Linked DNA regions of Drosophila melanogaster. The gene in region 1 interacts genetically with each later gene. Each region holds a gene or a part of one and is shown in the gene's direction. Other genes may lie near its edges.

Evidence for each region.
Region 2: of apt (region 1) and slbo, changing one suppresses a phenotype caused by changing the other (phenotypic suppression), as found in Drosophila melanogaster (one study listed by BioGRID).

Annotation. Positions count from the first base shown.
Region 1 is NT_033778.4:23,594,618-23,610,653, forward strand, and holds apt (apontic), read left to right. Parts: upstream 1-1,974; 5' UTR 1,975-2,130; coding exon 2,131-2,181; intron 2,182-2,274; coding exon 2,275-2,380; intron 2,381-2,442; coding exon 2,443-2,703; intron 2,704-2,766; coding exon 2,767-3,013; intron 3,014-3,075; coding exon 3,076-3,910; 3' UTR 3,911-4,909; downstream 4,910-16,036. Other genes in the region: CG42560 (uncharacterized protein), read right to left, coding at 4,931-5,077, 5,140-5,203, 5,263-5,333; CG42559 (uncharacterized protein), read right to left, coding at 5,441-5,638, 5,697-5,763, 5,822-5,932, 5,988-6,070; IM18 (immune induced molecule 18), read right to left, coding at 6,337-6,552; CG10332 (uncharacterized protein), read right to left, coding at 6,659-6,865, 6,934-7,003, 7,057-7,115; CG43209 (uncharacterized protein), read right to left, coding at 7,392-7,583, 7,640-7,706, 7,757-7,818; Eglp1 (entomoglyceroporin 1), read left to right, coding at 8,100-8,227, 8,283-8,685, 8,750-8,935; Eglp2 (entomoglyceroporin 2), read right to left, coding at 9,218-9,439, 9,776-10,334; Eglp3 (entomoglyceroporin 3), read right to left, coding at 11,141-11,359, 11,424-12,017; Eglp4 (entomoglyceroporin 4), read right to left, coding at 13,216-13,434, 13,515-14,189.
Region 2 is NT_033778.4:24,327,019-24,342,578, reverse strand, and holds slbo (slow border cells), read left to right. Parts: upstream 1-8,271; 5' UTR 8,272-8,808; coding exon 8,809-10,158; 3' UTR 10,159-11,057; downstream 11,058-15,560. UniProt on the Drosophila melanogaster protein: Required for the expression of gene products mediating border cell migration. Among the DNA sequences that this protein binds with high affinity is a conserved site within the promoter of its gene.

The DNA of each region.
Region 1 (16,036 bases):
CATAACTATAAGTAGCCGTAAGAGCTAACAATGCCGGGCTTTATTTTAAGGCACAAGGTTGTGTTTTGTTGCTCCGGTTTGCGCCGTGTGTGTAGGTTCACAATCGCTGGGTTCGAGTAGAGCATGTAGATTCGGTAATTATACTTCGTTTATATTAACAGCCCACAAAAGCAGATAACAACAAACAGTCATACTCATACGCTCACAGACGTAGATGACCAAAATCTAAACCAGTTTGCTTATTTAATTTCAATGCTTAGTTTTGAAGTCACATTGATTGGAGGAGTGTGATTACCTCTATGAGTGTGCGAGCTGCCAGCCCCAAAAGCGGAGTGCCAGCAAACAATCCAATATACATCGCGGATTGACGTAATTTAGTTACATTTCCGAATCGAAACAAAAATGGTATCAAATCGCTTGAGAGATCCTGGAGAGCAGCGCGTTCTTTCGGGCACAGAATTTCACAGTTGGCATCTTCGAACTTCATCTTTGACTAACTTGGCTGGAGCCCCACCCTGGCGAATAATTGGCACTCGCCTCGAATTTAAATGATTCTGGCATTCCTTGAATGCACTGACAGAAACTCTGGCATCTCATGGGCTTGAAAGTACGAGAACCTCCCATTGAAGAATCTATTGATTTCTCAAATCAGCATATCGTTTTCTCTGCGTGTATCTTCCCAAAAGGAGCGGTTTAACCACCCCGCAGCTCATGACTAAAATTTAAACAGCTCCATAATAGTCGGCCGTAATAATTAATTGTTTGCTAATAAATATGAGTTTATATATGTATATAGGAAGAGCTCAAATAATAAAAAATAATAAGCGCACGCGCCGCGTCTCCAATGACTAAGTCTCCTTTCAGTCTTCGAGTACGCGATAAATGCGAATGTACATATATACGTATGTATCTAGATACGTAGTTCGAGTGTACGAGGTACACATACGAGTGCCGAGTATAAGTATAAATTGTAAATCAGATACGGCATAAATATTGAACACATGGCGCAGTAGTTTATACACCCAAGAGTTGTGGGTGTTCGATGGCTGCAGGGGGGGTGGGGGTGGGGTAGTTGAGGGGCACGGAAGGAACTGAACAAAATTGAAATAAAATAAAGCACCATAAAACGTACTTAAGATTGACGATTGTGTTTTTTGGGGGAGCGATCAATGAAAGAGTTTCGATGAAGACAATATATGGCAAGTACAGTTGAGCTCTTTTTTGGATTTGGGCATTCGTGTTGTCTGCAAAGGGTTATTGATAATTCTATGCTCTTCCCAATTTAGTTAATATTCTTTTATTACTAAATTATGAGGGAATTTTTGTGTCTGATTTCGAGACGGGGGAACAATCGAAGGAGCCAGAAAGCGACCGAAGAACGCGTTGAGTAAATGCACATTCTGGAATATTTATATAGTACATTTGAATATATATGTACTTGATTAGATATAATTGGCTGTCAGTATGTCTCTTGATCGCTCCACTCAATCGCACCAATACTCGGATTCGGATACCGAGCAACCGCACAGATACATTTTCGAAACAAACAAAATGTCGGCAGCTGCTTGTTGTGTTAGCTTATAAATTAAAACGCGTTTCATGGCATTATTATTTGATGGTTTTTTACTTTTTTTTTTTTCGTCTTATGGCTGCTCAATTCATTCGATTGTTCGTATATTCACATTCTTTTTAGCCCATTCGTACCCATATACCCCCGATATCGCTCACACCTCCTTCCCCCCCTTCTCCGCTCGGTTCATCTGTCCGCCTGTCTGCTAATTGAAAATCAATTAATGTGACTGCATCCTATAGCTGCTCATGTCAAAGTCAGATATCATCCAGGGTAGGGTAAATTCGATGGAATAAGGGAATGAAAACAAGAGAAGGAATTCAAGACTCAACGACTCAGATTCAGAATCCGAATCAGAATCCTTTTGTTTTCACTGACCTTACTGTCTGAAAACAAAAACCCAATTGATGTGCCCCAAGTAACACTCTGATAATTACCGAAAAACTCCAAATTTTTCGATTGCTTTCGACTTTGGCAGTATTCATCGCCAAGTTCATTGGGTTTTCGAGTGCGTCCCGCGAATCGCTTTCGTTTGGTGCGGAATTTGGCACAAGTTTTGTATGCTCAACTACTGGGAAGGCCAATCTGGGGCTTCTAATTCCACTGTGCGGGTAATTTGGGGACTCTTGCCAGTTACTAGTTACCTCCCAATACGAATCACTGATTTCTCACCTCCTGCCACTCGCTTCTTGCTTCCGTTGCAGGTCAACAAACAGTATTCGGCCACCGATCTGGAGGCTTTTATGAAGATTGCCGCCAACTGGCAAAATTCCAATCACAACTTGCTGGAGGGCGTCGACATAAAGACGGGTAAGTTAAACAAAACGAAGTGACCGTTGAAGGAACTTAATTCAATCATCGAATGCTTGCAGAAATGACACAGTACATGAACAGTCCTTCCATGAACATGTACAAGAAGAGGGAACGCACCCAGAACTGGAACCACCAGGAGAAGAAATACCTACTCGATCTGTGTCGCAAGGACATGCGCATTATCGAGAACAAGAGATTGGATGCCGGTCTGACCGCCGTGAAGAACAAGGCATGGAAGATTATCCACCAGAAGTTCTCCAATCAGTTTGGCACCGATCGCACCTGCAATCGCCTGAAGGAACAGTGGCGTCGCATGAAGGGTAAGTCTTTATAAAATACATATATTTAATGGCAAAGCTAACCTTTTCGATCTCATCCTTTAGCATGTACTCGCAACGAGATCCTGGACTACAATAATCGCCTGGCCAGGTTTGGAGCAGAGGTGGCCGATCGCAAGAAGCCATCTCCGTTCACCTTCGAGGTGTGGGATTTCATGCAGGAGGCGAAGAAGGCATGCAAATCGGAGGCCCTGGATGGCATTGATTACTCTAAGATTCCACTGGCCTTGGAGGAGGGTTTTGAGTATCGTGAGGATTACAAATTCAATCCCGAAGACCACGACATGGATGAGTAAGTTGATCGCTATGTGGTAGTCTGAATAGATCTTTATTGAGCATTCTCTATTTGAGCAGCAGCCGCACACCGCCGCAGGAACTGTGCGATGTGGACATCAAGGAGGAGGAGAACAACGAGACCTTCAACGAGACCTTCAACCATCACCACCTCAACCAGAGCGACATCCTTGGCAGCGGCGAGCGTCTCAGTGTGTCGCCTAATCACAGCATCAGTCGCAACGGGATCCACGAGGCCGAGAGTCCCGCCACGATTTCCACATCTAATGTCCTGGACTCGAGCGGTGCCTATATGGCCGGAGGAGGTGACATGTCCGGCTTCCAGGCCAACTTCAACATGAACAACATATCCGCCACGCTGGAGGCACTGAATGCCCTCCGTTCTGGCCAATTTCCCAGTGCAGCAGCAGCGGCAGCGGCCGCCATTCACCAGCACCAGGCACAGGCCCAGGTCGCCATGCATCACCAGCACAATAACAACAACAACAATAACAACAACAACGAGGACGACGAGGACAGCATGAAGCCGCAGTCTAAGAGACAGCGCACCAGCAGTGGTAGCATGTTGGGCAGCGAGGATCAGGCACCAGTCCTGGCCCCATCAGTGCCAGCATCCTCGGACTCGCAGGCCCTAGAGCGGTCCGGCAGCAGCAATGGATTGACCATGCCGGGAACGGCAGTCAGCACCAATGCCAACAGCAGCAGCAGCAACAACAACAACTTTGAGCTGCGCATGTTCATGGAGATGCAGAGCAAGGAGCACATGATGCGCATGAAGATCCTGGAGGTGCAGTTGCAGGCGGCAAAGCACAGTCGCGACCTAGTGGAGATCAACAAGACACTGGCGCTGCAGAAGCTGCAGTTGGAGCTGGCCAGCAAGCGACTGCCCAGTTAGGAGGCAGTGCAGCAGCAAAAGGAGCAGCAGCAGCAACAGCAGCAGCAGCCCATCGCCGTTTCATGTTACATTAGTTTATAGAAATAAAGCCTGTCAACTCGGTCACGTTCGCAGGCAGAGAGCGTGATTGGGAATCGACTAGAGTTAGCACTAGAGTTAGTCTTAAGTTGAAAGCAGGATCCACAGCTACACATCCAGACCCGACACACAGAGAGACATTCCTGGCATTGTTGATCAGTATTTGAAAGCTAGAAGCGAAACCCGACACACAGAACCGAACCCAAGAACCCCAGCGAGGATCAGGAGGCGCTCGGAAGTATGCCATAATCTTATGATGATGATGACGATGATGATGATGAATCGCCTACCTCACAAGCACACACACACACACACACACAATATGCACACACTCAGCTAGCAGACACACACACACAGACACACTCTCTTCTGGCCTAACCAGCACTTGACCAAGTCAAGTCAAGTTTAGTTAGTTTCTAGTTTTAGTTCGTATGGGAACCACTCTCTCCAAGTTGCTCAACTACCACAAATGTATTGTACTTACGTTCTTGACCTCTGCTACCCCACAACTAACGATTTGAACGAACATGAAATGCACACAAGATTATTTTTCATAGTCCTAAGAGAAGAACCTTATATATGTCAATGCATCATACACAATCGGCAGTTGTCTCTGATTTTGATTCTTACTTGAACTTGTATTTATTTGTATCTTTGTATAGACTATGTTGATATATATATGACCCTATATATGTTTGTTTCAATGCCATATTACATGAAAGTTCTTTTTAATTCATATTTTCCGTTTGCGCTGCAAAACAAATTGTTACCATATATAATATATGATATGTATGTACCCTACGTATAAGCAGGCTTGAAGAAGGCCGCCAACTCGGCTTCAGTTGTCGTAGAAGACTTCTTTGTAAAGCGTGTAAATGAGAGATACAAATTATTTTAAATAAAATACAAAACAAAACAAGCAAATGTTTCAGCTACACTTTATTAATTTTGTTCATGGTTCATCTGTGAGCCTTCGGTCTTGGTTTTTTCCAACGATTGTATCTGCTTATCCACCTTGATGATCTTTGTTGTGACTTCGTTCTTCTGGCTGAGAATCTTTTCTCGCAACGACTTCAGCTGTTCCCGTTGCTGGGTAAATTTGCAATTAAATTTAAATAGATTACTTTCGTTTTTTGAGATCACAAACCAACCAGTTTAAGGAAATGTATGTTCTCCTCCGCCCTGGCTTTTTCGAACAAATGCTTGGATATGTTCCTGGATACAGAGATGCATCTAATAAGCGAAGCCATAAGTGCTCAGAACACGGAACTCACTTGTTGGATTGTGAAAACTGACACATCCTGGGTCGCAACAGTTGGAAAAGCTTTTCGACCAACTTCAGCATTGTATCCTTACGGAGGAAGATAATTTGGAATTTACTATAGTAACTGATGAGGTATTTCAAGGTGGAATATTGACAAACTTAAAAGTGATAGCCTACCGTTTGATAGGTCATTTTTCGAGACTCTTTTTGAATTGCTCCAACAAATCCTTCAGAGCTTTCAATTCCTTTAGCAGATTCTCCTTGTGTTTCCTTGATTTGTGGCTAGTTTTGGATTCCAAAATCTTGATCTCCTCTTTCAATTTGACGATATCATTGGCGATTTCTTTAACCCTGTTCTTTTTTATCTTCATAAATTGCTCTGAGGCCTATGGAATACCCAATTCTACAAGGTTATTCACAACATTAAATAGTTTCGATACATACAAGTTTGAGAACATAGTTAAGTTCCTCGCCTCTGCCCTTCTCGGAAAATTTGTCAGTGAATTGACGTCTATCATATGTAAAAAAAAAATTATTTTTACGGGTCATTTGAATAATAAAATACTTACTTAGCAGGAAATTCGTTTAAATTATTATTCGACCTTGGGTGGAAAATGTTTCTACCGTGGTAAAAGTTTCTATGCCTTGGTAAATTTCTGTGCAACTCATTGGAAGGCCAACTAATATTTAGAAGATTTACAAATAAAGTTTGGATAAATTTCCAGTACTACATACCAAACTCTTTCTTGACATAGCACCTGAGGTTGAAATAGCCTGTTGCACGATGCCGAGCCTAAGATTCGTGCAACAGGAAACATGGCTTCTTAAGTTTAGGATAGAACGAAATCAGTGTGGCAGAAATACATTTTACAAGTCTGAAAGTACAATGTGGATATTTGACGTACGGTCAAAAGCAACTACTTCGATATGAAATTTAGAATTTGCAATAAATTTAGAAATAATTATTACGCATTTTATAAATAGTAAGCAGATGTGTATCAAGGCCATTTCATAAGTAAGATAAGGAAACTGGGCGATTAATTTAGTTTAGGCGTTTCAAATCTTTATTGTTTCATTCTTTACGTCAGGCGTACATAGTCTTCGATGGTTTCCCAATCGGAGCGTCGTAGTACAGTGGTCGTTGCTGTGAGCTTGGAGACCTGAACGGATTTCCGGACCCAGCTCCAGATCCCGATCCGTTTCCTGGTCCAGTGTGGCGAGATGGCGAGGCGACGCCGGGAGCAGCTAGGAAGCCCAGGAGGCCCAAAAGGAGCAGGCAGCACAATGCGATCAGCTTCATGGTTGGCAATCTCAAGTGAATCTGAATGCCGACCTCCGGCAATAGCTTGTTTTTATACGCTGCACTCGTATGCCCTTGGGATTGGGAAGCACCCGGGGGGATTTTGCTATTCGCTGAAATCACCGACTTTGGGTGATTTCTTATCAGCTGGGGGGCGTCGATCAGATTTTCTCTCCTTCCTCTCGCGATTGGAATTCACCTTCACATCGAACTCCATGCCACGGATGCAGCGGGTCAGGTCGGTTAGATTGGCCTCGACGCGCTTTTGCTTGAGTGCCAGCTCATGGGATTGCAGATCCAAGATTCCGCGTTCCTGACGATGGGATTTGATTAGATGGCGCTCGATTTTTGTATCATCTATCTTGAAAGGTAACAACTTACTGTTTGCAGATCCTCCAGTTTTAGTTGATTTTCTATGCGACTCTGATCGGGCAGGACAACCAGATAACTTCTATATATCAAAATGTTATGATTGAATATGTATAATCACAGAATGCAACCTACCTGATGGTGCAGCCTCTGAAGCGGCTGAGAATAGATCTGATTATTGGGTTAATGTCCATGCTTACGAAAATGAAAACAGCTAATTTTGATTATCTCTAAAAGTTTGAAAGTAATTGCAAAGTGTTGAAGATACTTCAAACTGGCAAACTGCTGATATGGAGCTGAAATTCTGCATATAACCACATTTTATAGTTATCTCATTCTTCGCTATGCCAAAAACTATGCTACGCATTCTTGCTGTCCCATAGGTGGCGCGTTGGTTACGCATGTCAAATGTAAAATTACCATCGCCCTTGCCAGTACAAACAAGTTGTTGCAATCATTTAGTTTTATGTTTATTTATTCATTCTTATGTTTCGGAGGGCTTGTTTCAACTCTTTGAGCACTAATATAAGTTTACCCCTCGCAGTCTTCGCCTCGGACGACTTACTTTTCTCAAGGGCTTTGATTTGCATTTCAAGTGACTCGATTTGTGCGGTCAGTTCCATGATCCTTGCCTCTTTTCCCTTGTTCCCCTGCAAATGTTTCTTGGAGGTAAACGTTCTTTATGAGTCATTGAAATGTTTAGTTAGGAGATACTCACAACATGATACGTGTCGATACCGCCACTGCCTCCTTTGTCAAAAAGATCGCTAAACGGTCGTCTCTTGCTGCATGGAAATTGTGGATTTAAGGGAACTCACATTGCGGACGTACTTACCATAGAAACATGGTATCTCTTGTCTTTAAAAAAGTAAGAATCTTATAAGCCCCCCGAAACATACTTTAAGCTCTGCGTCAAATTTGTGTACTTATGCTTTTTTCGTTAATAAGTTTCTCCACGCCAACTAGGTGAGGCAAAAACACATTCAAAAATGGCTAACAAATGATCCAAGTAAACCTAACCCCTCTTGCTTTGCGAATATATTTGTTAAACATTTCCAATATACGAATTCGGTAGGAGAATCAATACTCAGACATACATAGTTAGTCAGTGATCATTTAGTTAGTTAGTTTTTTCCTTAAATTGTCTGTGATACATTACATATTACGGATAATTCACGATGATCTGGGACTTCTTTACCTTTATACGCGGAGCCACCGAGTTCAGTGCCACTGCGCTACTGATTTTGCTCGGTTGCATGGGAGACTCAACGAACCAAGGTGGTGAGAGCAAATTCTTGGTGGCCAGGTGATGCTTAGTGAGATTTCTATAATAGAATATTGTTAAATACTCTATCGTATAGCGTTCACTATGGCCTGACGGTGATGGTGGTGATGCACGTGTTTGGCTTCGTATCCGGAGCCCATTCGAATCCATGCATCTCGATCTCATGCTACTTGATGGGCTACATCGCCCTGGAAGTGATGATGATGTACGTGGTGTGTCAGATGGCCGGTGCTTTCCTTGGTTACTTCCTGCTAATGCAACTGCTGCCCAAGGAGCTGGTGGACAAAAGCAAGCCAGGCATTTGCCTGGTACAACCGATGGACACTCTGTCCACATACCAGGTCGTCATCATCGAGTGCCTGCTGACCGCGGTCCTCGTGCTCGGATGGTGCTCCTTGTGGGACGTGCGAAACGGAAGGTTCCTCGACTCGGTCGCCATTCGCATGGGTCTCCTCGTGATCGCTTGCAGTTTCGCAGGGGTGAGTTGAAAGGCTTTGGATTTTGTATCTATAGATACTATAGCTATATATGCATTTATTGCAGATTCAACTAACTGGAGCCAGTATGAACCCCGCCAAGACATTGGTGCCTGCCATATTCTACGGCAGTCCGAATTCGGTTCTAATGCAGCTGACTGGCCAGATCCTGGCCGCCATCATGGTGCCCTTCGTGTGGAATCATGCGTATACGCCACCTTATAAGCCCTTGGAAATTCCAGTGTGCAACTGAGCTGTGACAATAAACATAAGCTCGACGTTTTTGGCTACCGTGTGGCTTATTTGATCAAGTGTATGAGCAATTAAATATTAACGATAAGCAGTTCGCCGTGGCGTAAAAATAATCTGGCTTAGATAAGCATAGCATTTACATTAGATTAAATATATAGTCGTCAGGCGTTGGAAATTATTTAAGCTATTTATTTGCACGCTTCGCAACTTAAAACTATCCGCTCTCTCCGCTCTCACGAACACGAACTTAAACGATAACTTGTCCTATGTGTAGTAAATCCATTTAGGCGAGCTCCGCCTCCGAGGTCCTCTTGGTTGACATCGTCGTCTCGTCCACCTCCGATTCCTCCAGCTCCCGCCGGAAGGCGTGCTTGTAGATCACCGAGGTGATCAGGGCAGCCGCCATGGGACCCACCCAGTAGATCCAGTGGTCATCCCAGAATCCGTTCCAAATGGCCGGAGCAAAGGATCGGACTGGATTCATACTAGCCCCAGTCAGTTGTCCCTGTTGGGGGATTTACAATTGTTTATTAAGAACATTTTTTTGATACCTATTGATTGCATTTCATGGGATGGCTAAAATGTCTATATTAAAAGTGTATATATGCCATTTAAAGAAAGGTTATCATCGATACCGAGAAAGTCAAGTGCATTTGCCTGATAAATTGAAAACAGATAGTGAATGGAATTTTAGCATAGCGGATCGTCAATTTGATATTTCTTAAGAGCAGACAGTCTTATCTGTATCGGTATTACTTGGACAAACAGACATTAAGGTGGATTACAAAATAAGATATATCTAATACTGTATCTGAATTATTCCGAACAATAATCAACTTACCGCTGTGAGCGACAGGCATGCGATGGCCAGACCAAATCGCACTGGCAGCGAGTCCTGCTTGGTGGCATTGCGGGGATCCCAGACGCCGCAGCACACGGAGATGAGGACGCAGGTGATCAGGAACTCCACGGCCAGTCCCTGCCATGGGGTCAAGGTGCTGTTGAGCGAGGTGAGGCAGACGCCATTGGGGTTCTCAGCGCTGTAGATGGCGCTCTCCGGGAGCACCGCCTTCAGCAGGCCGTAGCCAATGAAGGCGCCCACCATCTGGGCCACAAAATAGGCCAAAGCCATCGGCAGGGAGATCATGTTGTAGACGTAGGTGGCCAGGGTGACGGCGGGATTCAGGTGGGCGCCACACACGCAACCGAAGCACTGGATGCAGATTAGCACCACGAATCCGAAGTTCAGGGCGCTCTGGAAGTCCGAGTTGGTGAACACGGAGTTCTCCACACTGCCCATGCATCCGAGGAACATCAGCATAGCGGTGGCTATCATCTCGGCAAGAACTGTTGTGATGCTGTCCAGCTGGCGGCGCTGCAGCAGCCAGCAGTTGGATTGGCTGCGAAATAGAGAGGAGTATTCCATTTTAGTATTCTTGTGGGTTTCATTGTGTTTAAATTTTTTTGAGTCACTCTTCGAGGATATTTTAGATTTTGATTTTAAGACTTGGAACTTGGTGGATCACCTTGCGGTTGTAGCCATGATTTACGTGCGTCGCGACGAGCGATTGACTTTAACGGAGACGTGGTCCGACGTGGACTGCACTCCAGACCAAGTACTCAATGGTGCGAATCGCATACTCTATCGCCGGCTCTTAATCGCCGGCAATCTCGTCTAATCGCCTTAGGTGGGTTATCAGCCAGCGTTTCTATATACTCATATCTACCCAACTATTGCCAAACATTCGCGTTGGTGTGCTCCATTCACTCGAGTGCGTATGTCCACTTTATGACGTTTTAAGGCAATTCAAAATGTGACAAGGCACTAAGTTAGTGTCCCACTAGAAAGGGGGCTATAAGCCATCTAATCAATATGATTTAAGCCGCCTGTTGTAATGGTTGAAACGCAGAACATTTCATTCGCTATCAAGCTGAGCAATTCTAAAAGGGGCTACTTATCAATGGCCATTGATAATGATTTTCAAAGACCTATGGACCTATTGATATATATGACAAACTCGACAAACTTTCCAGCGAATACGAGCCCCCAAAAAAATGGCCAATATCGCCGCTCATCCCAATTGTATGCTATGGAAATAATACAAGGTGGTGCTTAATTACTTAATCGACCTAAATATTTTGTGGCTCTATTATTACAACATATTCGTATATATATATAGTTTATTCGATAAGATTCAATTCACACCTATTGCACTATAACCTCTCCGATCATTCGTATCTTGGCATCGGAAGTCCTCAGATCGATCTCCTCGTCGCCCTTAAAGGCCATGCGATAGATCAGCGAGGTCACAGCTCCTGCCACCAAAGGACCCACCCAGTAGATCCAGTGGTGTGCCCAGGAGTCGTTCCAAACAGCTGGACCCAGTGATCTGGTCGGATTCATGCTGGCTCCCGTGAAGAGACCCTAAAAGCAACAGACTTCCCATTAAGTAACACTTCGCAACTTTGAAACGCACCGAAATACCAACCGCTGTGAGGATCAGACAGGAGACGGTGAGACCGAATCTCACGGGCACCGAATCCTGCAGCTTGGCGTTCCGTGGATCCCACACCGAACAGGCCACCATGACCAGGCAGCAGGTAATGAGGAACTCGATGAAGACCCCCTGAAGTACGCTGATTCCGGGGGCCAGAATTGTCACACAAACACCCGACGGGTTGTCCACACCCTTGATGGAGTTCCCAGGCAGAACAGCCACCAGGAGACCATAGCCTATCAGGGCTCCGGCAGCCTGGGCCACAAAGTAAGCAATGGCCCGGATCCAACCGATTGCGCCGTAGAGCCAGGCAGCCAGGGTGATGGCCGGATTTAAGTGGGCACCGGAAACGGAGCCGAAGCACTGGATGGCGATGAGAATGGCCAGGCCGAAGGTGAGGCCACTGCGAAAGTGCGAATTCTGGAACAGCGGCGTTTCCACACAGCCCATGCAGGCTATGAAAACGAAGACGGCAGTCGCCGCCAGTTCACCGAAGAAGCAGGCTATCGCACTCCTTTGGTGTCCTTCCAGGCGCCACCTGGCGTTCGGATTGGACTCCTGCGATTTTTGCTTCTGTTGCGACATGCTGACGGAACTCTACTGCCGCAATTTTGGGCGGCTGCCCAAGTGACCCAACGTGCCAGCAAAATTTACGGCAATCAATCAAAATCCATTATAAAACCTTAATGCTAATTATCGAGCGCAGATTTGGGAGCAGCTCCCGCCCACCCATTCAGGATGGATCAATCCATCAAGGCGATTTTCGGGGGGCTTTGCTCAGCCGTAATTATCGGCCTGATAAGCGCCACTGCCATTTCGCCCGATTTGTGCTCAATCTTATCTCATTAAGATCTTTATCGAACGGCGAACGGGGTCGCCGAGACCTGGCCAATACTCGTACTTCTTGTGTGCCAGCCAGTGTCTGAATCGCTACAACAAGGCCAATAAACCTGGCCTATGGTGTTCGAAAGCTACTCGAAGGAATCACCCCGTGATTTCCAGAAATTCCAGAAGAGTGATGCAAATCCAGCATTAGCATATCACCCATAGCACATAGTCCCCTTTAAACCACATAGAACCACATATATCATTTGTGCTTCGTATACGGACTATAGACCCGAATGGAGTACGTAACGTACAATAACTGCATATTGTTGGTATATTTTGGCTTTATTTGGCTGATACGCGCGTCTCATTCGCAGCCTGCTGATAACGTTTTTTAGCCACCATTTGATTGGTCGATTTGGAGGTACTAAGATATTCGAATATCTTATGAACAGATTTTCCAAAGACCGCTTAAGCTGATGGGCTTTTTTCACTTTCGATTCCTGGAAAAAGCTTATTGGTATTTTTAAGCCCGGAAGTTACTTAGAGCTAATCAAAGCAAATACCTCGTTATTGAAGAATGAAAAGCTTTTAGATAATATGGACTCAACATGTTTTAAGATGGCCCAGAAGAGCAGAACTTCAGGTATCAAATAACTACCAATATCTTGTGTAGAATTTCTTAAAACCATAAAAATAATTTACTTGTTTTGTTTTGGTTTTAGATTAAAAATCTCGATGTTCTTTATTTCTGAAGGCAATTAGTGTTTTCACCAAGACGTTTATCGTTTCAAGGGCTTATGTAAGTGTGTGCACTTGGTTCGCCTTTTGAAACGTTCGAGCCACTTTGTGAAGACACTGCTAACATTAGCGTACAACGAATGCATTATTTTAAAATTCGGCATCTTAGATATTAACTAAATTAGTTAGGGCTTTTCCTACAGCAATGTCTTTGGCCTTACGACAGCTGGACGTCCTCCAGTTGCCGCAGCTTCTCATTGGAGGTGATCTCCGCCTCAACCACCTCGCGGCGGAAGACGACCTTGTAGGCGTAGGCGGTGATGGCGGAGGAGCTCAGCGGGGCCAGCCAGTAGATCCAGTTGCTCTCGAAGTGCTTGTTCCACAGGGCGGGGGCGAACGACCTGGCCGGGTTCATGCTGCCGCCGGTGAAGGGACCCTAAAACCAATGGTAGGGAACGAGGTTAATAATCCGTTTCGAGGCAGGTAAGGATTAGCCAACTGTTCGCTTTAACTTACGGCAGCGCAGGCGAGACAGGCGATGGCCAGGCCAAATCGAATGCCCACGGAGTCATGGAACTTGGAGTTGCGCGGATCCCACACTCCGCAGCAGACGATGACCAGGATGGAGGTGATTACGAACTCGATGCCGAGGGCCTGGCCCGTGGTTACGCTGGTGTGGGGCAAGGTCACGCAGAGCCCAGCGCCCACCGTAAGTGTGGGCGAGGGAAGCAGGACCATGAGCAGGCCGTAGCCGATGAAGGCGCCCAGCATCTGGGCGGCGAAGTAGGCAAATGCCATGCGCAGGGTGACCATCTCGTAGATGTAGGCGGCCACGGTCACGGCGGGATTCAGATGGGCACCGGAGACGCAGCCAAAGCACTGGATGGCGATGAGGACGGCGAAGCCGAAGTTCAGCACAATCTGCAGATGGTTGTTGGGAAAGAGGTCCGTCTTCACGCAACCCATGCAGCCCAGGAAGACCAGGATGCCGGTGCCGATGAGCTCGCCGAGGAAGGCGGAGATTTTGTCCAGCGTCGATCCCTTCATTTTGAAGACCTTACAGCAACTGAAATGGTCAGAGAAGCGCTTGAATAATGCCACACTAAAAAGCGAGCTACCCTCTCTGTCGCACGCCATCGTCCATCTCTTTCTCGACTCTAAGTAGACCTGCTTAGGAACTTCATCAATCATATCCTATCTAAGACCATCCTATCGTTTCGCAAAGCCCTCCTCGATTTGCACCTAATCCCCGCGACACACTTCTACAATCTCAACTATTGTGCAACTTTGTAGTTAGTTTGTCAAGCTTCTAGACCTTTGCAACTGCTGTTCTCCTTCGGCTGCCTGGACGATTTCCTGCTGGTTTTCCACCCCTTGCGGATCCATCCCCTGCTGCTCGAGGTTCATTGACTTGGCATCGATTTTCCAAACACCCTTTTTTGGAAGCACAACTTATGCTGCTGATCCGACAAACGATGCCTGCTGCGGGAATGCCATCGATGGCTGGACTGACATGAAGTAGCCGTGTACTAAATATAGTAGACTTGTGATTGCCGTTCGGCTGTCAATTGGGTTTATAGATAAATGGCCGAAAAAATGCGAATCAAATCACGACATGGCCATAAAACAATAACCAATCTTTTTCAACCTTATCGCCTGAGCGCCACTCGAGTCAATTGGAGTTCACTACGTTGCGAATTAATCCGTTTATTGTGATTGGTAAATCCCTCTTTCTGGTAGCCAGAACTCTTGTTTTTTGTTTTTTGAATTTCTTTGGTTTCGAGTGCCAGATAATTACCGAATCTCGTGGCTCATTTTGACACTTGTCCAATTCTTTGAGATCGCACTATATAATCAATCTTTTCCGTAGCTGGTGAAAATTCACAAAGCGGCAGCGCGACTGTCAATGTCAATCTGAGGCGGTGGAGTAGCCATAGGCAAATATTTATATCTGTGTCTATATAATATTGCGTAAATCAAAAGCCCATTTTTAGCCCCTGTGAGAGAGCAGCAACACACACAGATACACACACACACATATGAAGGGGACCGACCACAAGCACACACACACACACACACACACAAAGGCGTGGAAATTAGCGAATCCTACTGGTGAGCATAAAAAAGTCAAGTGTCCAGAATTTATGAGCATCTTAAACGCTCATTCGCTGCTCTCGTTCGCTTTTGCGATTATCTCTGGAGCGATGCTCCTTCTCGCTCCCACTCTTCCTTTACCAGTCACCTGGCTTAAATCATTATAAAATGGTAGAAACAATACGGATGATATTCCATGGAAACAAGGTTAGATATTAACACTTGGTGTGCAACTGACATACTGGTTTTGCTCTATCGAATTCATTCGACTTATTCACAGCATTTTATGAGAATTATAATATTAAAGGTGGTCCTTACATTTGTTTTTTAAGTAAATTATCATTTTCATTTAACTTGTTTCTTACTATTTGTTTGCCATGAGAAAGGCAAATCTGCTAAGCAATGATTGCTAGAATTAGTAGTAACCATAGTTCCTAAAATACGACATTTTCATTGCGTGTCATTCAAACTTAGCACTAAACTGTAATTGATAGCGAAAATCCCCATAATTATTTTCAGTGTAGTTGGTCGGTGGGCGGTGGGCATAACACTGTTATGCTGTGCAAGTGCGTGACGCGCTCGCAATTGAAGCAGGCGGCATATTGCGTATTGATAACAGCAGAGTGGCACACTATCAATTACCACCGTCGCTTCGATTCCTATCAATTGCAATTGCTGCAATTGAGGATGCGTTGCGTGAATCGGGCTACCACGCAATGTGGCAAACAAATCACGGCAAATCTCGGCACGCCTGTCGATCAAATTGCACGCAATTTGCGTAGTTATGTGTCTCAATAACAATTGGATCGTCAATAAATAATAACAATTTAAAGCAAATATTTTCAAAAGCCCTGCTGTTGCACACACACCCAGTACACACAGTGGCTCAGGTGATCAGAACTTTTGACCCTCACTGACCACGCCTAATGTTTTCCATTGCTTTC
Region 2 (15,560 bases), 740 kb from region 1:
ATTTGGGATTCATATGGCTGGGTGGCTCATTGGCTCCTCCCCTTGAAAACTCGTGGTTGAGTTCGGTAATTACATACGTGGCGTTTCGCCTTATCAGCGCTGTTAATTTAGTTAATTTGTGATCTTCTGATTTTGTGATTTTCTGATTTTCTTATTGCTGATTTTGTAATTTCTTTTGCGACATTTCGCAGGCTGAGCTTTGCGGGCATCTTGAGTGCCCGGGCGCAGCAACAAAAAGCGATACACTTAAACTATGCCAGGAATTTCTTAGCCCCGCCAATATGGTCAGAATGCTCTAGAGGATTTGCGTGGTGGGCCCACTTGTACACAGGAGCACGAGTATTTCGCCATGTCCTTAAATAGAGGTTCGCGGAATGGGCAAAGGGGCGGAGTGGGCATGGCCACGTGCAGCGACTAGCAGATAGCAGCAGATATGTATATAGTAAGCGCAGATAAATCGATACACTCACTGCGCCCCGATCCGCGATCGAAGATGATGCATTCCCCAGCTGCAAATGGTCATCGTTGCCTTTTCCAGCCATCGGTGTCGTTGTCGCCAGCTTGTCTCTTCCGCGAATAAGCCAGTCCAGGTCCCGTGTCCAGCTCCACGACTCCGACTCCGAGGTCGACTCCGATCAAGCACCAGGACCAGGACCACAGCCAACTGCAGCTCCGCTCCTCTCGCATTTAATTAGATGGAATATAGGAGCTCGATGGTTTGTCTACCTGCCCGGGCTGCCTAATGATTTAAATTAATCATAATGACTGTCAAAATAGAACGTTTGCCGCTGCCAGCGGATCATATAAGGATCGATCCACGCAGCGGGCACCAGGTCTTCTGGACACTACGGGAAAACGGATGCCACTTGGGTCACTTGAATCTGAATGATGCCTTCCACTTGTATTCCCATTTCCCCAAGACTGCGAAAAGAAAGAACAATAAATAAAGATGAAGTTTGATGATCCCCACGCATTCCTAATAATTCCGTATTTTATATGGATTAGGTTTACAGATGGGTCATATGACATATGCATCTCTAGCTCTGTGACACTTTTTTATTGTGTAATTTGGTTTTAGTTGTTTGCTAAGTATTTCTCCGAGTGCATTTCGATGCAGCTTCTGGTCCTGCTGACATTTCATCATACTCACACGGCCTGCTGGCTGTTGGCTTCTTGGCTTGTTGACTTGTTGGCCTGCAAGCCTGGTCTGAGGTTCTCACAATTGTAGACGCGTTCTGTGCAGCGCTTACTAATTGGTTAGTTGGCTGCAGGCTGGGCTCTTCAGCGTCTGCAGCCATCCAGGCCCTCTTTCTCCGCCGTTTTCTCCTCCACCGGCAGTAGGAGTCCGCTGGCTCCAGTGCGGCTGTCTTTCTAGGCAATCGTCAGCCTGTCTGGAGGAGAACTCTTGGCTTCTCTTGGAGGCTTCTGGCCAGCTGGGAACAACTGCAACATGCTGTAGTTTTTGCCATCGCACTTTCCGCGGAATTCTCCCCAGCTGAACATTTCTAATACTTAATTATTTGCTTGCCGTTTTACGTGCATTTATTTGAGAGGGGACGAGGGGAATTAGGGGGCTGCTCCTGATGCTGCTGCTCAGAGTCCGCATTATGTAATCCTGCAGAGTTCACCTTCAAAACGGTGGACAGATCATCTAGGCATACGGATGGCATAGGTATATTCCCAAATATATTTATAACTCGAGAGGAGCGTTTGTTCCATTTACGATTCCGAACAACTTTTGATTTTGCAGCTAGCCATAGCCATAGCCACATATGTGTATATTTATATATATAGACTTTTTTACTATTTATAGCGCTACTTGGGCATTTGCCTTAAGCCAAAGCCAAAGTGTTTTAAATAGTCGAAATATGTAAATTTCCTTTTTTTTTGTCTTTTTCAGTATGGTCATGCGGGAAAGTATCTGCGAAATATTGTGTTAGGATTTCAAGTAAAGCACGAGATTCGGATGGCAAGTCATTGGTACGACTGGTGATAGTAGAATTGGATGCAATTAAGATAGCAAAAAAAAAACGAAAACAGTACAAGCGACTCCCCAGGTATTATTCAAAATAGAATATCTATTATCTGCGCAGCAAGCTGGTTGATTTACACACTCAAACCACCGAGCACACACACTCCTTATACAGATGGGCCCGAGATCGGCCAATCGGAATATATCTGATTGAATGCAAGAACGTGGCACATGAGCACATGACTGCGGTGTATGATCGCCGGAAAGCGAGTGGCCAAGAAACTCAGGTGTCTAATTGGGCGCTGGGGTGACAATGAACCACTTAACCAAGCCAGGTCCAACTGCAACTCCTGCTCCTGCTCCAGCGCACTAAGCCAAAAGCCTGAGATTGACAAAGCCGGCAGAGAAAACCGCCAACGCCAGCTCAAAAGTCGAACCAATTGGCAATTGGTACAGGCGATCGCAATGTTTTTGCCTCATGAATAACGCATAAGGAGCAGGGAGTAGGGATTGGATTGGGTTGAGAATCGGGATCGGGATCGGAATCGAAATCAGGATCGAGCTCTGCGAGACTTCGGGGCAATTGTCTGGTCGCTTGTGTTACAATTTAAATAAAATTGCGGCTCCCTGGGCGAAAACAAAAGGAAAAGCTGGGGGTTTTGGCCTTACGATTTCGCTTCTCAGTTCTCTGTTCTCAGTTCTCAGTTCTGGGCATTGGTTTTCTTTTGGGCCGAAGTGCAAGTACCGTTTGTGCACAGGAAACAAAAGCACCGCTACAATCATAAAACGATTAACAGGTCGTGACCGTTTCACCTGATTACCGGTAGTCCGGCTCATTTGCATGCAGGTGGTGCCGCGTCTTTTCACGGTGACAAGTGCAGGAAGTTCGGAACCGCCTGCCCTTCCCTTAACTTCCCCTCCTCCCGAGCACGCGGTTCTAACTTCCTCGCCTTCCGCGCATTTTAATTCACCCAATATTAATTATGAAAATCAGAAGGCAGGCGCAGATGGGTCGGTGCGTGCCTCGCATGGAAGTGGGCTCCTCGAGGCACTTTTGGCCAAGTCGAGCCCAAAGCCCAGAACTCAGAGTCCAGAGGCCAAAGGCACTGGAGCTCGGGGCCTCTACAAATTAGAACAGAATTATCCCACGCATCTCGGATAATGTACGCGAAATACTTGATCGATTGCCAGCGATCTATGGTCGCTTGTACTCGGTCTCCAACTGACAACAACGGCGGACAAGGAGACGGGAGACGGGAGATGGAGGTGGAGGCGGAGGATCGACGCAGACGGTCCACTGGCTGAGGCCATCAGAACGGAAAGCAGCGGACTGCAGACTGCAGACTGCAAACTGCCAACTGCCAACGGTGGAGCACAGCAGCTTGGGATCTGCGGATCGTCGATGGCACAACAAATTTCAGCGCGTAGAACGGTAACTTATTTTTTCCTCCCTGCTAGCTAGGGGGTATGTGGGGTAGTTTGGACTGGAGCACCACACTACAATATGAAACATCAATTATTACTAAAAGTTAGAGGAAATCGCCTTTACCAAAATATCTAGCAAGTGATTCAAGTGACTCGTCCAGCATTCTGGATGAGTTTGGAGTTGGGATTCTGCAACAACTAGCGAAGATCATTGAACTAAAAGGTAGCCACCATTCGATCTGCCCATCTGACTGCGAGCCACTTATTGTCAAGCTGCGCAGCAACCGAAGGGGGATTGGGGGGATCGGGATTCGATCCAGCCGAGGGAGTTGGAGGAGGAGGCTCACACAGCGATGTCTCCAGTTTGGCTGTGATAAAATGTGCGTAAGTGATCAGTTGGAAGAAGACGACTCGGGATGGGGATGGGGATCGGGAACTCGGACTGAGATTCAGACTGCCAGTGCGACTTGGGGTTAAAATTCCTGGACTCGGCGATGCTTGGCGTTTTTTTGTGCTGTTGCTTTTCAACTCTCTCGGCACTCGGCAGCATTTTAAAATTACAAGTATGTAATTTTGCTGAAATCAAGCGCTCATATGAAAATTCCACTGGCAGTGCAGAAGCTGTCGATCGATCGCCCGATCGATCTCGTTCTCGTTCCCGATCTCAAACTCGCGGGCAATTGTGGGGCATTTTTAATTTGTGCCCGGCTTTGACTTTTGCCTGGAAATCAGAGCAGTGGTCGGAGTCGCCTGGAAGCGGACTGTGCGACCTTATCGCGCCCACTGTGCGCAAATGCACAAATGCACAAATGCACACACAAAATGTCAATTCTGCGCACGTCGCTTCACCAGGCATCCCAATCAGTCGTGCCCCGGCCACTATGCGGCCCCCCAATCCCCACCAGAGTCCGCAAGGGGGTGGACCAGCGGACTCTGGCCAGGCTCCTTGGCCTCTGGCCGGCCTGGCAGCTCGTCATCATTATCTCTGCGCTCTGCCAACATCACAAATAATATGAGGAAGGCACAAAAAGGCAACACAATCGAGGGCCCAAGAGCCGGTCACTCACTGTTGGCCTGCAAATAAACTATTTCAATCAATGCGTTTGTCGTCGGGCCATCGATCGCATGCCAAAGGTAGTTAGGCATCCCATAGGATGAGTTGTGGGCTCATCGGGCTGCTTTTTCGATGTATTTTCGAGGATCGGGCGATGGGCAGCATGGAAATGGGCGCAAAGGTGAGAGGCGAACAATAAATACCAACGCTCAGCTTACAATTTACTTAAGAAATTTCAAAAATTCCCTCGGATCGTATATAAAATACTTTTGTTTTTATCAATACTATACATAAGTCTTTTTACCTAATATAAATGATTAAAATATATTACTTGCCGTATTTTCAGATTTTGAATTGCATGAATTGGCGCCAACTGACAAGCAGGTCACCTTTCCCAAGCAGTGCACCATATACTCATAACTTCTTGCCTAGATGGCGCCACATAAGTTATCGGAGAACTTTTAAGCAAGCAGTATACCTATCGATATAAAACTGCTTTACAAGCGCTGCTTAAATTCAAATTCAAATTGTTCAAACGTATTTTAACTTTCTACGCGCCATTTGCTAATAGCTTTGAAAATAAGTAGTAAGTTAATATATGCTTAAGTTTTACATAATTTTTAAAATAGATTTTATTGTTATAAATATAATTACACATGGACAACAATGAAACAAAATGATGTTTTAAAATTTGATTAGATTAAAATATAATAATTGAAATATTTGTTATTTTTGGTTGAACTCGATGGCTCGCGCGTTTTATTCTCACGCTCCTATTAATTGGCAAGACTTTTCTAAGCAGCGGGCAGCGAAAAGTTTTCGCCGAAGAGCCGACTTTCATTGCCGAATCGCCTCGCATCAGCACTAAATATTATTAATTTCTGTACTCATCAGCACACGGCGACAGGGAACGGGCTCGTTTTCTGTGGAAGTAGAGTCAGAATTACAGAAGTGAAGCGCAAAAGCACGAGAATCCCCTTTGGAAAAGAGTTTGGGGTCGTCGAACTGGTTGCATTTAAATGGTGTTAAGTACACTGCAATTAGGTGGAAACCACCGGAGTTTTGGCTAACTGGGTTTTGTGAAAAGTATGAACTTATCTGCTGCGATGAGTCAATAAAGAAGCGTACTTATGGAATTAATATCTATTCTATCAGTACAAAATTCACCGCACCAAAACAAAAAAGCTTCCTAGAAAGGTCTTTCCTATAAACAAGGCCGTGAGAATGAAGCGAGTGTGTAACCCAACCCCATCGACTCGAGTTCACTTCGATTGAGCTCGGATTTGAGGAAGTGCAGAGTTAAATTGGCTACGCGTCATCGAGATAAGTTGACTGCGAGTGGCGAATAAAATGAAGACAAAACAAAACACAACGCCGTCTAGAAATCATTGGCCAAAACTCCCAATTATGGCCGTGTTTATAAACACAATTCAGTCGGAGTTTCGCATGTGTCAGACAACTTTTTGCAGAGTGCAACGAACGCCAGTTGTGAATTGTGAATTGTGGCCGCTACTCGTATTTGTTTTGTTTACGAATTCGCGGCTTTTGGCCGTCTTATCAGTCGTTTGCCAAAATATATAAATAAAACTCTTAGGCACTTTGCGCGTGGGCGTTGTCGACGGCAGATAAATACGCCTACAATTTCCCTTTTGGGAAAACGCTGAAATGGATCAAGGTGATAAAGAGCTGCTTATCTGCTAGACTTTCTCCAAGTTTGGTATCAATGGGTAAATATCTATGATTTATGCTAGCATCTCTATGAATACCCTACTCAATTTTAAAAAGTGAAATTACTGGGGGCCAATGGTATTTGCGTTTTTAATCTTATCAGGGCTAACACCTTCTTGTTGGCCAAAGGGCTGGTATTTATAGCCAGTCCACCTACTTGCTAATTTGAAGTGTTTTTTTTTTAAATTTATTTTAAAAAATTTATGCTTTCAAGTTTTTATAAATAGGTAACTTTAGGTAAGCCTTGGACGATTCCAGTTAGCAGGAGGATAAGCAAATAAATAAATGACTTTGCTTTGCTTTAATCCCATTTAACCAGTAGTTTCTCCATAAACAATCTGATAAGATAAGGTGCACATGGATCGATCTTGCCTCATTTAAATTGCAGATTTCATCACCTTTCCCATCGATCGATATGGAATCAGTTCTTGGGTAACCAGACCGCACAATGCAATCCCCCAAGAACAATAAGGGTGCGTTGAATGCGTTTTGAAATACACCCGACCAGAAGAATATCTTTGTGGACGCACAAGGAAGCACTTTTGCACAATCTCGATGCAGTCATCGATATCGGCGATATTTCCGATTCGCTGCAATAGCTTGACTGATAAGCGAAGAAAAGTGGCTGTCCTGTCATCGACAGCGGAATACCCTCTTATCGTGCAACGGCGCACGGGGCGTATGATTAATAAAGTCCGGGTAAACAAAAGGTACATACACGAAGGCAGAAGACGGGGGCGAGAGGCGGGGCCGAAAGCAGGGGACGCACCTTCGGAAAGTAAACGACAACTTGACCCAAATTGCAGACTCGAAAACTCAGGAGAGTCAGCAGAGTGAGCAGAGTTAGCGGAGTGAGCACCAAGCAGAAGAGCGCCAATGGGGGAAAAGTGGAGAAGGCGACTTCACAAATCGCTGCATTTAAATAAACAAAACTACGAGCCGTGCTAATTTTTATGAATTTCATAACACAGTCTTAATTTTAATAAGACGTCGCTGCCTATTACGTGAAAGCTCCGCGATGCGTTGCGCTTCCACTGCGCAGTCACGCATGCGCGCCAAAAACAGGCCCCAATCCCCAAGCCCCCAATCCCCCGATCCACCAAGTAACTGCACTTCTGTGTTTTTTTTTGCTTTTCTGTATTTCTAAGGCGCAAAGCGAGTCGAAGCCCAAACACAAATCGGAGTGGGCAAGGCCCCAAAATGGGGGTCGGGGGTTACGCAGCGGAGTGCCGGTGTGTGCGGGCGTGGTGTTGTTGCTTCTCGCTGCGGCTGTGCGGCTCTTCTCCCAAAAAAAGCAAAAGCGACGGAACCGAAAATGAAAATGAAAACGAAAGCGAGAGCCAAGGAATAATGAGCGCTGGCTGCGCTGCCGACGTCGCGCGCTGCTGGTGTCTGTGCTCGCTTGAGCTTGTGTGGGTGCCTTGGGGCTCCCTTTTGTGTGACGTCACGCGATCGTGCGTTGCATTGAGTTTTATCATGAAATTCACTGCATCAGCGCATAACTAATACTGGATTCTAGGATGGGGTCTTAATTAAACAATTAATATCTAAACTAATATCTAAACTAACTTATGTGGAACATGTATAAATGTAATAAATTCTATATAAAAAATGTAATTATCCTATCAAATATGATATTAAGTTCCGGAAACTGAAGAAGTATCTCCCAGCTTCGTACCAAATGCACTTTGCTTGCATTCGTGCTTTTGGCCCGCACAGCAACCACAAGAATGGCCCAGTGAATTGCCTTGCGACGAGAGTAAAAGTGATTGGGAAAACTCTTGCTTTTTTACCTGATCGCGGCTCTCGCTCTCATCCACAGGTAGTTGCCTTTGCCTTTGCCTGGCTTACTTGTGCTTTGCCTGCTCTTGCTTTGCTTTTGCTCTGCTCGTGCTGTGCTGTGCTGCTGCCGCCTTTGCTTTGCTGTAACGGCGACGGCGACGGCAACGCTTGGGGCTTCGGTGTGGAGCGGTACGAGTGAATGTGTGTGTGTGTGTGTGTTACATGCGCTGGCCGCTCATTTTCTTTTTCTTCGGCTGCGTCGCTGCGCCAAAGACTTTTTCACTTTGCCGCGTTCGCGTTCGCGTTTTGTCACAGTTACAATTTACCACTCGTCGGCGACGGACGCGCGCTCTCCGCTGGCCAAGAAAATCCAAATCGAAGAAAAGCTCGCTCAGCTAACGGTTCTTCAGGAGCGTTTCTAACACCAGCACACGTACGTGTACGAGTACGAGAGTACTAGCCAACGGCAGTCGTCAGGCCGTCTCGTATAAAATCTGTTGCATCACTGCCGCGGCACTTCAGTCGTTCGAACGCGTGCGGCCGGAGAAGTGCAGTGTCGAGTTAACAAAGTAAACAAACTGAATAAAACATTTTGCGCTAAGAATCGGAAACATAATAAGCAATAGTACGATGCTCGGCTGCAGTGACCACCCAGGCAGCCTAAGATGAAGCATACGGAATAGCGAGCTATCCGAGTCGAACATTTCCAAAGACCCACTTCTTACCTCAGTGCAATGCTTTAGGCGCCAAACGAGCAAAAGTTTATTCCCAAATCTGAACTCTAAAAACAGCCAAAATTAACGCTCTACAAGGAATCAAGATTCTACCCTCCTTCGCGCAACTGAAAATGCTGAACATGGAGTCGCCGCAGATGTACGCCGATGCCGTTCAGACATTGGCCCAGCTGGACCTCAAGAAGGAGCCTCCCCTGCAGCAGGCCACCATTGGCCAGATCACACTGACGGCCATGTCCACGGCGCAGCAGCAGCAGCAACAACAGCAGCAGCAACAGCAGCAGCAACAGCAGCAGCAACAACAGCAGCAGCAGCAACCCCAGCAGCAGACTACCGATGCGAACAACAACACGTCGCAGGACGCGGCACTCCTGGTCAAGCAGCACGCCATGCACCAGATGCAACAGGTCGCCGCATTGGGCAGCAACAACAACCTGCTGCAGAAGCAGATGCTGCAGCAGTACTCCACTCAGACGGACCTGGACGAGCTGACCACCCAGGAGATCACGCTCGACCTGCAGCACCTGATAGACGACCAGTTCAGGGACACGGAAACGCTGGGCATCTTCAGCGACATGGTGACCAGTCCGGGCGGACTCTCGGCCACCCTGCCGCCGAGCGGAATGGTCTCGGCGGCGGCGAAGGTCCTGCAGCAGCAGACCCTGCGGAACCAGCACGGCTACGGGGGCAGGGGAGGCGGTGGCGGAGCAGGAGGCGCCCTGGCCTACATGCCGCAGCCCGTGCACGCCACCTACAACAATTCCAGCGACGAGAACAGCTCCGTGGGCTCCGACTCCAGCACGATCAAGGAGGAGCCCATCGACCCCGAGTACAGGCGGCACCTGCAGGAGGCGGCTAGCCAGCAGGCCGCCTTCATGGGCAATGGAGCAGGCCTGTACAACGGCTACGGATCGGGGGCGAATGGCTTGACCGGGGGCGGAAACCCACTCAACGGAGGCAACACCACGCCCAGCAGCAACGGGAGCAACGGCAGCACGGGCAGCAGCAACGGCAGCCAGTTCACCAACCTGACGACGGCCAACGTCCTGGCGCACCACAACCTGCCCCACCTGGCGGCCGCAGCAGGAGCACACAATCTGCTCAAGCAGCACAGCAAGCTGCACGCGCAGCAGCAGCATCAGCAGCACCAGCAACAGCAGCAGCACCGCAAGCACAGCAACAAGCATGTGGACAAGGGCACGGATGAGTACCGCAGGCGGCGGGAGCGGAACAACATAGCGGTGCGCAAGAGCCGGGAGAAGGCTAAGGTGCGCTCCCGCGAGGTGGAGGAGCGCGTGAAGAGCCTGCTCAAGGAGAAGGACGCCCTCATTCGGCAGCTTGGTGAGATGACCAACGAGCTGCAGCTACACAAGCAGATCTACATGCAGCTAATGAACCACGCCAATCCCGAAGTGAGCCGCGTCTGCCGCAGCTTCCTCAACACCAACGAACACTCGCTGTAGCCGCTGCCAGCTAAAGCCAGTGTCCTGCGAGTTCTGTGTGTGCGTGAGTGCTTGAATGCTTGAGTGCTCGTGTGTGTGTGTGTATGAGTGTGTGAGTGCTCCAGCCGTAAGTGTGTGCGTGTGAGCGAGACTCTGCTAAATCAAAGATACAAATGCTGTGTGGGTAGCTCGTAAGGTTCATTCTCCTCCTGCTCCTCATTGTCCTCTCTGGCCGTAGACGATGGAGCGGTCGCGCCAAGTTGGTGGGCCGCTGCATCGCTTGGAGACCAAACTCTTCTGCCGATCGCTGTGGCATTCCTTGTACATTTACTCTGTCCCCATTTCTTGTTATCACTGTAAAGCATATTTTTGTACTTAATTCTAATTCTTAACGACTGTAACATATATATTTCGCACGTTTTTATACATAATCTTATACATTATATCTATCATAAAGTTAAGCCAAAGAAAAATGTTAAAAATATTAATGTAAAAAAGAATAACACGCAGGAACGAAGAACGAAAATACAAACTTCAAAACCTATTAACTATTTATACATCTAATTCAAATGTGTACAGTTCTCGACGGTGTGCGGCTTCGCTCTATGCTTGATGCCACGCCCACTCCCACGCCCAGCCCTGCTTGACACACAACATTAGCAAATCTCTAGTTCGTAAGTCGGAGAATCAAGCATCGCTTTACCTGCACAATCCCCAGAGGAAAGCCTCCCGAAATCAACCAACTTGTAGCGAATTCCACGGGTTCGCTTCCGAGAGCGTAGAAGATATGAATGCTATTAATTGTAAGGCAAACGCAATGTTCTCATTTTAATTTATATATTCGTAAATTAAATATACACAAACAAAGAAAACTGTAAAGCAAATCTAAACAAATTAAATAAAATTTACCTTATACAAAGAATCGGCTTGTCGTGCGTTTTGACTAAAACCCAAATGAATTTCAGATAACTTCTTAATTTCCACAGTTCAACTACCAATCTGCAATTAGCCCTAGCCACAATTTGATGCAAAAGCCCTGCCAAAAAGTGTCTAATTAAATGTCGGCCATACTTGGGCGACAAAACGATACGCTGGGCGAAGACCAGAAAGAGACGCACCACCACCGCATTGGGAGGGCAGGGTCTTTCTTCTGTCCGCCGTCTTCTGTCTTCGCTGTCTTCGCTGTCTTCCGATGGGACAAATACGACAAGGCAATGCATTTCGGGCTGCCAGGCGCGACACTGGGCCAATTGCAGGGAGGAAGGAGGGCGAAGTGGAGGACCCCAGACAATCGCAAGGCGGCCGTGTTGACACAATTTGACAGTAAGACAAACCCGAAACGAAAAGCAAATTTATAAACGACAAAGCGAAAAAGAATTAATGCAACTCGAGAAACCGACAAATTAACGCGCCAGAGAAAGCCCAAACAAAAGCCACAGAGCCACGGAGCCAGAGAGCCAAAAAACGCATGCCGACCTGGGGCAGATAATCACTTACAGACATTTGGGCTCGGGCTAAGCCCTTTTGGTCAAAACTTTCTTTCCATCCGTATCTGTATCTTGGCCAACTGCTGCTGCTGCTGCTGCTGCTGCGTGCGTCCAATTTGTCTAGCTGCATTGTTGAGCACTTTGATTGATGAAAGCTAATTGCGCATGCACTCTGGGCCCAAAAGTGAAATTGCTTCGAACTTGTGGGTGTCGCTCGGTAGCCACAAACCGCAGCCACAACCGAAATCCATCCCAATCCCATTTAAGCCTGACTTTGATAAGGGTTCTAAGCAGCTTACGGAGAAAGTTCGCCCCCTGCAGCGGGATTCCTGCCGAATGCCGAATGCATCTGCGTTTTGGCAAGCGCTCAGAAATTGCCGCACAATTACTGCCCAACTAGGCGCCGCGGCAACGAGGCGTATGAGTTATGAGCGGCGGCAGCGAGAAGTGATAAATTCGCGACTCGCAACTGCAACGGGCAGACGAGGCAGCAAACACACTTCTTTCTGTCTCACCTGTACGCCGCGCTGATAAATGCTAATTGCCGCCATGAAAGAAGGCTGGGACACTTAACGACGGGCAAAGAGATTTATGAAGGAATTAATAAAGATTCTATTAAGTATGACAATAATTAGGATTTTATAAGATTAGCATCAGTTTTTTATTCGCTTACATATCCAAACAGAATATATTGAATCATATGCCAAAGTAACTGGATATCAATGGAATCAACACTAATCACAGATACGATGTTGGGTTACATGATCGAGCTTAAGCTTGGCAGATTGGACCTCCAATCAGCTTCAGCTCCAGCTCCAGATCCCGGTTTCAATCCATCTCGATTCCGTTGTCATCCAATCCATCTTTCACACTCCAGTTCCACTTCGTCCGCTCCGCATTGTTGTGGCTCCAACATCTCGACTTTAGCTGCAGCGACTATAAAAACCATAACGGAAAAAGTGGGTTACTTCACTTTTATTTTCGTGCCGCAAGAAACAGAGAGATAGAGAGAGAGAGAGAGAGAGGGAAGAGTTCGAGGGAAAGAGAGAGGCAGAGACCAACTTTACATCTATTCATCTATCTCTATTTTTCTTTTTAGCACAGATTGAGTAATAGTTAGTTGTTTGGCTTATATCTTAGAGCCGGGCTTCGTTCCCTCTCCTTTGTGCTGCCGTTCGCCTGGCAACGACGATCGTGTGGCCAACGCGGTGGTTTCACTTTCTATGCCGACTCCGACTTCGACGCAGACTGACTTTTGCTATCTAATACAGCCGCCGCAACAACAATGGCCCATCTAGCTCCACTCGAAGAAAAGTTGAGCTGCAAAAGGAGAACCAACTGTCATGAATATTTTTAAGATATTTGAGCACAAAGTATTTGAATTTTTCCTGTGCAAGTCAAGCTCCTGCCACCTAAAATATGCAACATATTCACTTTAGCCCCTCTTCTCGCAGTGTAGCACCACAATCTTTTTCTTCGCGCTTTGTTGTTTTCCCTCCACAATACATTGACTATTTTCTTTTCGACGACGCCATACGCCATACGCCATCATGTTGGACCGATCGCATAGTGTAAAAGCAGACTCGGGGAGCCAGGCTAAAAAGCCAGCTGAAGCTCTGGCTGGCTGAGATTCGGCTCCGCTCTCGTAGGAACGGCATGTATCTGCGCTTGTATCTGTATCTGCATCTGTGAGTGTATCTGTGGCCGAGTGTGGGGGTTATGTAATGGGCCAAGCCGAGTGCTGTTGTTGCTGCTTTAAAGATGCCTTTTCTTTTGTTGGGCTGTCTGCTCTGCCTGATGACCAAGTTAAGATATTATGTTCGTTATGTTGCGCTTATTAACGTGGCCCACAAAAATTGTTTAGCGTTTTGTTTTGCCTAAACGAATTTTCCGTTATAAATCAAGCGAGCTACGCGAAATAGAGACATTTGCTACGATGGCCAGATGGTAAATCATCGAATAGATTGTGCAGCCACAGCGACCCACAGCGAAAATGATATCGCATCCCCCCTTTCGCCTTCTCCCCAACTTTCCTTACGCAACTTACGTCGAGTGGAAATGCTATCCATCCATTTACCTTCTCTCGGTCCAATCAGTCGACACTGCCATTTGAAACAATTACGCAGCTCCAGCGCACATTAAAAAGAAATAAGTTTACGCGTAGTAAAAGTATGTATGCAAAGTATGTATTTGGGAAAAAGTGGCCCACCTTAGGGGAATATTAAAGCAGTTTATGTGCCTACTTGGCCATTAACACTTAAGAAAAAGGGCGGAAAGTAAAAGTAAAAGGGTTAACATCGAAGGAGTTTTAATCTCCACTAACTAACTAACTAATCGTGGCTTGTAGCGAGAAACCTAAAATGCAGAAGCCAGGAATTCCCCTACCGTGCGTAGGGAGTAAATAGTTAATAGAATATTATAAAAATATAATCACAAATACAACCAGGTGCAACGATGAGTGGTAATTCGAAGTGAATAGAATAAAGGCCAACCAAATAAAATAGCAAATCAAAAGAAAGCGAGAGGAAGAGGGCGAGACACAACAAAACCGAACCAAACCAAAACTAAATCTAAACCACTCACCCAAAGACCCATTGGCCTACTTTTCTTACAGGCCCAGCAGCAGCAACAATAAAAATATAAAAAATGCTAGAAAATAATCTCAACGCCAACACACGCACACATGGCTAATCAAGGCGTATCTGTGTGTTGGTGCGTCCAAATTTACAAGGGGCGCCCTTTTCGAAAAGTCAAAAAAACGAAGTCTTCCAAGAAAGCTGCGCGCGCTTCTATTTTCAGCTGCGCGTTGGCGTCGCCGTCTTTATCAATCTTCCGGGGGGATGTGGGGGGTGTTGTTGGCCTTTAAGGGGCAGGGGAAGTGGTACGGGTGGCGGGCGGTTACTTATCTTAGGGCAAGACCTGCGTCCGCTGAGCGAAAGAGATGGCTGCCGAGGCGAAGGGCCAGACACTTGTTGCAAGCAGAACGCCCCACCAAAAAAAAAAAAAAGAGAAAAACAGAGCAGCAACAACAAATTGACCCAATTTTGAACATTTTTCCTTTACTGCACACAGATACAAACGACGGCATACAAACAAACCCAAATATGCGCCCTGAAGTCATAAAGAAATATGTACACAGAGAGAAATGACCCATAAGTGTGTACTTTCATACTATTTTTTGGCAGGTTATAAGGCTCTCAACTTAAAGAAGAATTGTAAAGTTATTATCTTGTTATTTATTGAAATAGTATCTGCCCTTTTCTCTCCGTGTAAATGCGGCCAAGTGTGTATGTAATGCTCCCTTAAAATTGAATTGTTGTTAATTGTTGTTGCTGGTGCTGTTTGTTGTTTGCTCGGCGGCATTGCTGAGTTCTTCGCCGGGGGGGGGATTGGCTGGGGGATGGGGTGGGGTGGTTTCGGGGGGTTGGGGGCTGCAGCAGCCCAACACCAGAATTCACTTTCAATTTTTGGGCTCTTTTTGATTGGGCGCATTGAAAGAAATGTTCTATGCTGCAGGAACAACAACAGACAGAGCAACACACATTTTCTTGACTTTGGGAAAAGTGGGTCAGCAGCTGTAAAATAGACTCCACCAGACTGGGCCTCCACCCACCCCCTCACCCCCCTTCCCTGAGCCAATCATGTCGGAAAAGAGGAATATGTTTGTGCATTTGTGGCGGTGGAATGTGTATGTCTGGATATGTGTATCTGCGATCTGACGCTGTTTAGACGGTGTCTATTTCCCATTCGGTCTTCCTAGCGCTTTTCCCCTTCCGGCCGCCCAGCCCCTGCCCCGCCCCTTGCCATTCGCCCACCCGGGGCCCACTGTTAAGTAGGTCAGCACTTATGGCCCGATCCACGAGCAGTTTTCATTATCATGTGCAGCTGATGATGCAGCGACGAGGCTGGCAAACAAAAGTATCTTCGAGCATCGCC